3 linked regions of the Caenorhabditis elegans genome follow. The gene in region 2 interacts genetically with the main gene of each other region. Each region holds a gene or a part of one and is shown on either strand. Other genes may lie near its edges.

Region 1 (3,376 bases), on a different chromosome or scaffold from region 2:
AAAATTGAAAATTGGTGTATTAATTTTAAAGATAAAATTATGAAAACAAAGTCGAAAATGACGTCACTCATTTGTGCGGAAATTTAATTTTTTTTAGCTCATTCCTTTTATTTTTGCAAAATTGAAAAAATAAATAAAAATTTAGAAAACATTTATCAACTTTTTAAAGTCATTACAGCCCATTTTCTAACATTTAAAGCAAAATCCTCACTCGAAAATATGTGTTTTTTTTGCGATAGCATAACTTTTAAATCTTGACATTCATGTCAATCAAAGTTTTATTTCTCTTTTTCTGGAGTCAGATGACAGATATAAACATCATTTTCGGGAAATTTCAGTTATTCTACTGTTTTGGAGGGGAAAAGGCTCACATCTCGTAATGACGTAAATGTGTATGAAAATAATGTTATGCGCATGACCAGAGTATTATAACATTATATACACCTGATATCAAACATCTAATTAGAAAAACAGGTGAATTGAGTTTTCATATACCCCGTTGGGCGTTTTCTTTTTCTTTTGGGAAATTCATACATGGGTCTGTTTTTGTTTTTATAGAAATGTATAAAATTTTCAAAAAGGTTTTTATTAGCAATATTTAAAACCAAAATAAAAATCGACAATTTAACGTCTAGCGTATCCTGGTCCAGTTCTCGGTGGTGGACAATGATCACAGGATCCAGGTTGTCCTGGTGGTCCACGTGGTCCAGTTCCTCCGTGTGGTCCTGGAAGTCCGTCAGATCCCTTCTCTCCAGGATCTCCTGGCAATCCTGGTGGTCCGGCCTTTCCAGGTTGTCCATCCTTTCCTGGTGGTCCTGGTGGTCCTTGTGGTCCCGGTGGTCCTGGTGGTCCTGGAGGTCCTGGTGGAGCTCCATTGATAACCTTTCCTGGCTCTCCAGTTGGTCCTTTTTCTCCTGGAACTCCCGGTGCTCCTTGTGGTCCTGATGGTCCTGGTGGTCCTGGAAGTCCTGGAACGCCATCTTGTCCTGATGTACCGGCATCTCCTTGTGGTCCTGGAAGGCCTTTTGGTCCTGGTGGCCCGGCTGGTCCTGGTGGTCCTGGTGGACACTTCTGGCATGGTGGCTTCGGTGGGGGTCCCGGAAGAAGTGCTCCGTCTCTTCCTGGTGGTCCTGGGTTTCCTGGTCTTCCTGGTGCTCCCGGACGTCCGTCTCTTCCAGGTGGTCCTGGTGGTCCTGGTGGTCCAACTTGACAAGTACAGCAAGATCCAGCAGCGGAAGATGGTGGATTGGCGGCAATTGGTTGTGCTCCATAGTTATCACGACGTGTGCGACGAGCAGTACGCGCTGGGATACCGCCGGTAGCAGACTGGACGGTGACCATCTCACGCCACAAATCGCGGGATCGAGTCTAAAAATAATATATTTCAATTGAGTTTAAATCGAATTAGATATTAATGAAATATAAAATTACATCAACATGCTCCACTAACCTTGCAGAAGTCTACTTCACTGTTCATAACAGATTGAAGATGCTGTACGTGATTGTAGACAAGTGGAACAATGATGACAGTTGCCAACATGGATACAATGGCTAATGTTGCCGACGCAATGGCCAACAGCCGGAGAGAGCGCCGTGGGGCGCATTTCTGCTCCATCTCTATAACATAATTATAAACTTTCAAAATAATCGAGAAAAAATCAAGAACAAAAATGGAAACTTTGTTGAAAATAGAATGAAAACAGAAATGAAGAAAAACTTTCTCAGTGTACACATATATATAAGTGGATACGACCTAATTAGATAACGACTGAGTGACCTGGATTATCTATCCTCAATATCTCCGTTAGTTTTCACTTTTGTGGATGAATTGCCGCGCGCCTACTGATGGGCTGAGATAAAATGAAATTCCGGAGGTCTTTGAGAATCTGGGAGGTAAATGGGGTAAAGTACATATCGTATAGTTGAAGTTGTATGTGATATATCTGATTAAATTACTTACAAGTAAATTCGAAATTAAGTTGAAAATATTAACAAAAAACTTGTGATTTTGGGAAGATTCTGAGAAGAGTATTGAGACAATAAATTTAAAAAATAATTCCATTTTTCTTGCAAAAAACCTTAATTCTTCACAAATAATCTAACTGCAGTGAGTTACTTGAATCTGAAAAGTTGTTAGAAAAGATTTAAGGAAAAAACCCATACGTATTGGTTTTTTTAATTCAAAATTTGTTTGAGCGTCCAACGTGAATTTGTTGCAGTATTATCAGAGTAAGAAATCAGATAAAATTTTACAGAAGTTCAGAGATCAAAATTTTTGATGTTTTATATACTTTTCAAAAATTATTACATGTGTTGGCCGTTTCCCGCAAAAAGATTTGCTAAAGGTTTTGATCAAATTCTGATTTTTTATATATTTTTATTTTTCATTTTCAAGTACGTAATGCTATTTTCTAAGCGTATCTGGAGAAAAATTAAATTATTGAGTTCAAAAAATCTGAAGTCAACTAAAAACTAATACATACCCAAAATTAAAAAAAAAATTTTCAGCTAAACCTTTTCCAACGTCACCAATCATTAGAGACCCCTTTTAGTTGTTTTCTATAAAAGCTGATGCTTGAATAATTGAAACAATAAAGAAAATAGCCAACTTGTTCTATTGCTATAAGTTTCTTTATTAGTTGTTGGTCAGATTTGAAATGAAAACAAAGAAGACGTTAACACACCATTTCTGATGATAAAATGTAGGATTTGTTTGTAGACTAACTGTTTAGAATGTAGATCATAATCCAAAACCAAAATGGCAAATATAAATACAAACATTAATTCGACCGGTGAAAAAATTACAGGTGGAGTAGTTTCAATGGGAATTTTGTGATTAAATACACTTATAATGACCCAAAACGACCGAATATCATATTAAAACAGTGCAAAATTTTTTTTGATTTTTTAAAATTTCCAGTCAAAACTTTGGCAAAAACTTTGGCTTTTGAGATTTTGTGTGGCAAAAACTGGGCTATTATCACTTTTTGACAGCAAGTAAAAAATTCCAAATCTTTTTTAAACGTTTGTTATGATATTTGGCCATTTTGGCACCAGGCAACTAGTTTAAAGCACTTTCCCCACTGGCGGTACTCATTTAATTGTCAAACTTGTAAAAATGAGAAAATTTAAAAAATTCTTCAGTTTTTAACTGTTTATATAACTGTTAATATACATTGATTACTTAAAATATTTAAAATTTTCAATTTTCATATTCATAATAATTTTTTTGGATTTTACAAATTAGGTAGATACAAATGTTTTATTAAAAAAGTTTAAAAATTATATTTTAATGTGAGGGTTCCGAGAGATGGAAAAAGACCAAGAGATACATTAACTACGACAGAAAACAGGTGGAGATAGTCGCCGGTTTGGA
Region 2 (4,047 bases):
ACTGTAGTTTTCGCTACGAGATATTTTGCGCGTCAGATGTTGTGCAATTCGCATTCTCAAAATGTAAATAGTGTTCCTGTAATATAGGCGCTGGGGAATTTTAGAGAAAATCAAAATCTATAGGAAAAAACTATGAAAATTCCAAGTTTGCCTAATAATGCATATTTATTTCAGGTATCTTCATTCCTGTTTCGTGCCTATTTTGTTGGGTAAGCGGTGGTTGTCGACGATCGAAATCCCGTCGAATGTCCTTCTTCGCAACACTTTCAAGTCGTCAAAATCGAAGTCGACGTGGCACAGGAAATGATGAGGAGCGAAGCAGTTTGTACCCTTCCTCTCCACCCACTCTTCAAATCCGTAAGTTTCTCTCTCTCTCTCGTGTTTTCCCATCCATTTTGAAGTTATCATCAAAAACCACAAAACTTCAAAATTCACCAAACTTTTCCAGCAGCATCCACAAAGTGCCGACAGCCATCGTCCTTTTCTCTTCCCGCAGTCTCTCACGACGTCATTTTAGAAGAGAGTGAATCTTCTGATCATGAATGGAGGAAGGCCAAGAGGTGCCGAAAGATAACATTTGATCTCTCAATGACACGCCGGGATAATGATCTTTCACAACTGTGATTAAATTCAAACTGAAATCTAGTATTAACGGGTGATTTTGAAAATAAAACAATTGAATATGGCGAAGCACTTCATTTGACTTCGAGCAATACAGGAATGCAAAAATAACTGGCGAACACAGCGTCTATAAAATACAAAAAAAACAGAAAGATGCTCAGAAAATACAATACGTGGGCACATTCAATAATGTTAGCAAGCGAGGTAGGTTAAACGGACTGGTAGTATATTTTCAATATAGAAGATCTGTTTTCCGATTGCTAATGTTGAGTGTATGTGAGAGATGGCAAAATAGGGAAGATGCTGAAACGCATTCCTACAAAATAACACCGGGGGGGTCGATATAGAAGCTACAGGGAAGAAAAACTAGCAACGAATCATTTGACAAGGACAACGAGTGTCGCTGTACAAGAAGATTCCGTAAAAAATTTGTTAAAGCTTTTTGGTTAAGTGAAAGTTTAGGGGTGTTCGATAAAATGCAAAACACGCAGTTAGTAGAAATAAAATGGGCGTATCAGTTGAACTGATTACTGGCTTGACGATTCTTTTGGTGGAGAAACAGACTTTCCGTGGAACGATGTGGAACCTTCGTAGAGAGCAGCGAGAAGATAATCAGGGCTGTTATGTGGGGACCAATGAATCTCTTCGTCTAAAATTTGATTTTTAAATGAAAATCGACAATCTAGAATCTAAACTATTTACCTGAAACTGTCTCGCTCTCTGATGATCTCAATCCAGAAGATGTCACAGATGGTGCTCTCTTTCCTTTGTTAGCACTATTATTTCCTGATCCAAAATGGTTTGAAGTGTCGAGAAGAGCAGTAATCTGGTCACGAAGATGATGTGGGAATATAGAGTTCAACTCCACATCAGACAGCTCGTGATTCGAAGAATCAGAACACTTATTGCTGCATGGTGAGTTTTGTCTGTGCATGCACATCAGAATACTTGTTTCCGTCGTAGGCTCGCCGTTTTTGCAGAAGTATTCACCAGCTGAAGAAAGCTTGAGCTCGCTGTGCTTGGTGCATCGAGGTGGTTTGGTCTGCACAAGACTACGCGTGTTGAAAATTCCATTGCTACGGTATGGTGCCATCATGAATCCAGCTTCGGGAAAACATGTTGTGTTCTCCTTTTCCTTGAACAACTGATGCATTGGCTCAGCTCTCCATAAATTATGAGGGGCTCGAAGATCGACACACAGCTTTGGTGGTGGCAAAACTTCATTTTGTGGATTGTTGATAAGCTTTCTGCGGGTTGGTGTCGCTCTTCTCACTTCTATAATTCTTCCTTGAACATGTGATTCGTGAAGCGCAGCACGAGCTTTCTCACAGGATTCGATGGAATCGAGTGTGACAAACCCGAACCCTTTGGATCCACGATCATTTGTGACGATTTCCACACTCAGGACTCTTCCATATCTGAAATTAATATTCTTATTCAGAACTTGTTGTAAATTGAAAACTCACGCGAAGAACATTGCCGCCAAATCTTGTTCACGAAACGAGAAGGGAATATTGCTGACATATATCCTAAAAGTTTTTTGATGAATTCATTAAAACGGCACGACAAATTTACCTGTTATCTGTGAAAGAAGCCGGCTCACGAGTTTTCGGTTTGACCGATATTGGCATTGTGAAAATTGGATCTTTGTTGGAAGGATTCGCACTGTTAAACGGTAATCTGAAAAAGAAATACTTAATACCAACATTTAAAAATGATAAACATACCCATCATGTGCTCTGTGAGCGAAGTTAGTAAATATCTGTGTGTTTTGCATTCTGAAAAAAAAAGTTGAATAAAGAAAAATGAGGAACTGGGTAAAGAAAAGACAAGACAACAGAAGACAAGTGCAGAAATGATTCCAAATGATGATAAAACGATTGAAAATATAATTTCACATTTTCCCGCCACCGAGTTACAGAAAAATCTAAAATCAAAATTTCGCGCCTTTGTGATCTTCTAGATTTCTAGTTCATACGAACGTCGGATCAGGTCTAAAAGTTAATATAACTAGACAATTTTGTGTTCTATTTTCGATTAAAAAAATTATTTTACGAATTACTAGAAACTAAAGCTTTAATTCGATTTTCTTTAGGCCAAGAGCAAAAAATAATTTTATTTGATTCAAACTCGCGCTTCATTCATAAGCCCCGCCTTCGCAATCCTGGCACGCAGTTTTTGCAAGGAGCGTGCACGCAGTTGCCTTTCTTCTCTTTTTCTCGTTTCATGTCAATTGCGTTTTTTTTCTCTGCATTTATTTTTTATTGAATTCTTTTCCCATTTTCCCATAAAATTTTATCTATTTTTTCTCATTCTTATAGTTTCTTTCAGATACTTTGCAAAAGAAATGATAATATTATAAAGAATGGCCCTTCGAAGGAAATTCACTTTTGAACTTCCGGAAGACAGTTATTGGAATGAATCTGACTCGAATTCATCCGGATTGTTTGATGATTTACAATCAAAACAAGTAAGTTTTAACGTAGTTATTATATTAAGAAAAAACGAAAAAAATCTTTTAAAACTATAAACGTGACCAGATGTTTTACTTTTAAAAAATTGAAAAAAAAGTAAATTAACACGTTTCTTAATTATTATATTGCTCAAATCAATGTGTTTAACACGAAAATTAAAGCTTCAAGCTCGAGCAGCCGTCGACAATCTCTTCGGTGGCGATGAGACTCCGAAGCCGTACGTCCGACCGCAGAACCCAACGCCAACTCCCACAAATGTTCCACTGCAAATTGACGGAAGAGCTGCTGCTGTGTCAGACAAGGCGAATATTCGAATAACAGAGTAAGTTAATTACATTGTTTTATGAATATAAATAAGTAATTTGCAGTACCTCTCCTCGGGCTTCTGGCAAGATTGTAGATGATTTCTTGAACATGAAATTCGCTGAGAACGTTAACGTGGCGCCAGTTATTCAGACCGCTCCATCTGTGGTTTCTGAAGCAAGTGCAAGTAGTTTACCAAGTGAAGCACAACGTCTTGATTTGGATTATAATCGATTGAGACAAGAACATCGGAAACTTAAAGATCAGCACGAAGTTAGCTATTAAAGTTTTAATATAGAATTTTGAAGATAATTATGATTCTAGGTTCTTCGCCACGAACGGTTTCAGCCGCTTACAATCGAGGCTAGTATCAAGAGAATGCTTCAAGGGCATACTGTAACACTGGATTACTATAGGTCATTACGTGATAAGACACAACTTTTGAAGCAAGCAGTTGCCACGTACGACAATAATACAATTTTCAAGGTCCGAACAGCTATGATACTAATTTTTTAAAAAGTTATCTTTCTTTACAGATTGTGATTTTTCTAGAGAGAACTCTCAAGGAAAACATATTCTGCAAAATAATGGATGGCCAGAAAAGTGCATGCCGAGTTTACACACGACATCTTCAGATCACCGGCGAGTG
Region 3 (4,047 bases), on a different chromosome or scaffold from region 2:
AATGGTAAATACTGAAAAATCTGATTCAGTACTTTCAGAGGAAGTCTAGAAGCTGACACTTCCGGGCGTCGTGGAGAACGTCGTCGTCTTGGGGGAATGCTATGCGGAGTCAATTGTTTTGGTGATTCATCTGGGGTTCCTGATGATGGATTCCCTTCGTCATCACATTCCACCATTGAAGTTTTTCGTTCTTTCGGGCTTTCCACTTGCTGAAAATTTAATATATTTCCCTTTTTTATTATTTTATAGCTTGTTTTCATAAACAATTTTTTAAAAATATTGTCTAGCTTTGAAGTTTGAAAAATTCAAGTTTCAAAAACAGTATTTTGAAAAAAGAAAGCAACTCACTTCCAACCCACTACTTTTCATAGGCGTTGAGGCCGTCAAATTGCACTGTTCGTCTGGAACAATCGTTTCCCCGTCGTTTTCAGCCATACTTCTCGATTAACCAGCTCACCACAGTCTTGTCATTCGCTTCAAATTGAGAATCCAAGTTTCAGAATGCATAATGTTAAGAAATAAAGTAAATCTCGGTAAACGACCGGTTTGGAAAAAAATCAACAAATAATTGAATATAAACTCTGCTTTTTGGTATTCAGAACAAACAAAAACAATGCAAAACAATGAAAAATCTATAAATCTACGGAACAAAAATTCTAATAAACCGAATTTCGACAAAAAACGATAAAGGAAAACCGTAATATATCATAAAATTAGATACACCATTACTTTTTAACTTTTGCAATCTTAGCTTTCGTTTTATCTCTTCCAGTGGCCTTCTTGGCGTCGGCATCAGTGAATAAAATGGATGGAGATGTGAAACGGAACAGTTTGGGCGAGAATTTTTCGTTGAAAAGAAGATTTTTGGGAATTGTGCCTTCTTCGGGTTCTGTCTCCGGTTCTTCTTCGATGGTTTCTAGTGATGGAGCCCATGTTGGCATTGGGCCGGATTTCAGACGTTTTTCTTCTTGTAAGCAATCTTTAAGTAGAATTGTTTCTCCAATATCACCAGGTACACTTCCTTTCACATAAATTACTTGTTTATCTACATTGATTCGAACAATCTTAAATAAATGAATTGAAAATTAAAATCGAGAGCAATTTCTTACTTCCAAACCAGAAACAGTCCTCCACTCATAACCCATATGTCCCGGCATACGTTTTCCTGGCCAAATTCGAGCATCGCCGACTGAACCAACGGAACCAATTCTACGATGTGATTTTGTGGTACGTCTTGTCGGTTGTCCACGCATTCCCCATCGATGCATTCCACCCTGAAAACGACTAGTTTCGAAAATATTTCGCAAGGGTTGAGAGATTATTTTGCTCCTTGGCTTGCAAGGGAAATTTTGGAAGTTTTAGACTATTGTAAATTGAAAAAAATTACCTGGAATCCCCAGTCAATAGTTTTTCCAGTAGCAGTTACATATTGACCAACTCCGAAGTGACGGGCATCAAGTGGCTGTCCAGCACTGGGGAGAGCGTCTTCTGTTACCAGGAAACATCCGAGTTTCTCTGAATTTATTTTTTTAACCATGAATTTACGGTGAAGGACTATCGAAAAGCGGAGCAAAACACAAAAAAAACCCAACCTTTCACTGGAATTCCTGCGCGAACAAATTGCCTACGGTACCCAAGCGTGTATTTTGTTGGATCATCATTTCCGGCACCCACTGTAACTCTCCACATAGGACCGTGACGATTGAAAGCCTTTCTTTTTCCGACGGCTGACGATTTATACCAAGCCTCTGGTGATGTAATACTGACAACATGATTTTCATCAACTTCAAGCACAGTGCACAGAATTCGGTTTCCTTCATTTGTCCATTGTGGGAGCATTCCGATTTTGCGGACAACCAGACCCACACGTCTTGATGAATCTGGAATGTCAACAACTGAGACATTGGTTTCTTGAGAATTTTGAAATGCAATGGTGGACGCCGCAAGAGTTTCTTTCTCAATTACGGTTTCAAGCAGATTTCTGAACAAAAACGTTTGCTAAACAGGTAAGAATTAATGCAACTTACTTTGTCCCCTGGCTAATACCCACACTGCTTTTCGGCACACTCTCTTTGACTGGCGGAAGCCATGGAGCTGGGGTCAATGTTCTTCTGCGACCTCTCTGCTGACTGATATGTCCACTGAAGGCCATTAGAATTCTCCCGGCCCATTCTGGAGTCGGACCCGTCGTCACACTGGATACCAGTGAACGGAGCATCTGTAATTAAGATTAAATATTAGTGAGATATAATTGATCATGAAATTCTAGAATAAAAATGAAGAAAATATCATCAGAAACTCCGCATGGAAATAAAAATGCGAGATACGAGAGCTGGACGAAATATAAAATGATGGCATAGCTAATTATAGCTTTATACCTTGAATGAATAACACTTCTGACAAGCATCAAAGAAACTTGTGTTAAAATAGTAGCTATTCAGCCAAATGAAGTGATTGATTCTGCTAAGTAATGAAAAATGGGAATAAAAAAGTCGGTAATGATAATCTGACGGGAAGATACTGAGAACAGAGGAACTAACGAATAAATCGAGAAGAACAAATAATTCGAAGGTTAGGCATATTACTTAAAATGAAATTATAACTAAAAGACGAACTTCAAATTCAAAAGAAGCTTGCTAACTTTACTTTAGCCCGACTTTAATCAATGCTCCTGAGAAACTGGGTGTTTCGTATGCGGCTAAACAACACGCGCATACGGAATTTCGGAGTGTTGTTGCCAGAAAATTCAAATAAAATTTTTCAAACAAAAAATGCAATTGTTTGTTTAAAATACAATTTTCAGGGTATATATTACCAAGAATTTTTAAAATAAAAGTTTAAAACCAAAGAAATGCGAAAATATTTTTATTGAACATATTAATTATCAATTTTTGAGAAAATAGGCCAATAAAGAAGGTCCTTCCCGTTCTGAATGTCTTGAATTGCCATAGCAACATCATCCATGCGAGTTTTTTGCATAAAACTAGGTAAAAGTTCTGGCACGTAACGTTTTATAATCATAAGGAATACTCTTATTTGGCGATAGCGTTGGAAATGGAAAATAGAGAGTTGCGCCATAGAGGAAATCTGAAATATTGATGATAAATCAATCTGAACGGAAAACTGGAAAAAATAACCAAATATGTTTGTTGCTCAAGAGTTAACTGATGCGGGGAATATTCAAATTCTTCGTTTTCAGATTTCTGATCACGCTGAAAAAATTTAGACTTTACAAAATTTAGATTGCACCTACGTTTTCGGATAAGTCGCCTGAGCTGGAAGCAACATCGACGATAGCTCCTTCTTCAGAATCTTCTGATATTTCAGAACATTCCTCTTTAATCAAATATTCTTGTTTCAACGTTTGTGGATCAGCAGGTTCATCCTCAGAGTCTTCCATAGCTCCACTGATTTTTTGATGTGATTCTTCTAGGACAGTTGTGCTTGATACGGCTGAAGAACTCCCTTCAGGTTTCAAAACTCTAGATTCTTCAACGAAATCTTGTGCGAGTATTTTTTTCGGAAGATTATTGACTAGGAATACTGTGCAAATTAGAAATTCATCAAGTCTTTTAGAATAACGATTAATCACTGGAAAGCATTGAATAGCGTTTCGGGTTAGAAACTCTTCCGCTGAGGAAACAAAGACTCCATGGACCTAAAATTTATTTTCAAATTAACGAATTTTGAAACTAAAAGAATAACCTTTTCAGCTTCAAGCAATACTTGTCGTTCCACAGCCCTCCGACTCCGCCCGTCAACAAACTGTATAAGTTTTGAATTGCACAAGAATTGAAAAATAGTCGAGTCATCGACTTTTTGGTTAGTTGTATCGTTATAATAATCTGGCAAGTATATTACAGTTTGGCACCCGTCTAGAATGAAATTTAAAAGTATTTCAAGTAGAGATCTCGTGGAAATTATTGGAAGCGACGATGAGATCGGAATTAGCATGTCCATGAATGATAAGCCATCTGAAACGAATTATTCAAAGTTAAAAACATCTAAATATGAAAGTAACCAACCTATAAATACGGGTCTAAGCAT

The links. Genes that interact genetically often act in the same process or in processes that back each other up.
Region 1: of spn-4 (region 2) and dpy-3, a change in one rescues a mutant of the other (synthetic rescue), as found in Caenorhabditis elegans (one study listed by BioGRID).
Region 3: of spn-4 (region 2) and mrps-18C, a change in one rescues a mutant of the other (synthetic rescue), as found in Caenorhabditis elegans (one study listed by BioGRID).

Annotation. Positions count from the first base shown.
Region 1 is NC_003284.9:2,144,031-2,147,406, forward strand, and holds dpy-3 (Nematode cuticle collagen N-terminal domain-containing protein), read right to left. Parts: upstream 1,618-3,376; 5' UTR 1,616-1,617; coding exon 1,451-1,615; intron 1,369-1,450; coding exon 625-1,368; 3' UTR 575-624; downstream 1-574.
Region 2 is NC_003283.11:6,782,505-6,786,551, forward strand, and holds spn-4 (RRM domain-containing protein), read right to left. Parts: upstream 2,400-4,047; 5' UTR 2,399-2,399; coding exon 2,349-2,398; intron 2,302-2,348; coding exon 2,197-2,301; intron 2,151-2,196; coding exon 2,088-2,150; intron 2,040-2,087; coding exon 1,324-2,039; intron 1,271-1,323; coding exon 1,149-1,270; 3' UTR 683-1,148; downstream 1-682. Other genes in the region: ZC404.15 (uncharacterized protein), read left to right, coding at 175-357, 449-624; spe-39 (Spermatogenesis-defective protein 39), read left to right, coding at 2,987-3,091, 3,257-3,417, 3,464-3,671, 3,723-3,884, 3,935-4,047.
Region 3 is NC_003281.10:4,933,749-4,937,795, reverse strand, and holds mrps-18C (Large ribosomal subunit protein uL3m), read right to left. Parts: upstream 2,219-4,047; coding exon 2,028-2,218; intron 1,982-2,027; coding exon 1,593-1,981; intron 1,516-1,592; coding exon 1,388-1,515; intron 1,275-1,387; coding exon 1,110-1,274; intron 1,065-1,109; coding exon 726-1,064; 3' UTR 575-725; downstream 1-574. Other genes in the region: fsn-1 (F-box/SPRY domain-containing protein 1), read right to left, coding at 1-209, 349-435; eri-9 (Zc3h12a-like Ribonuclease NYN domain-containing protein), read right to left, coding at 2,878-3,087, 3,138-3,212, 3,254-3,658, 3,706-3,974, 4,026-4,047.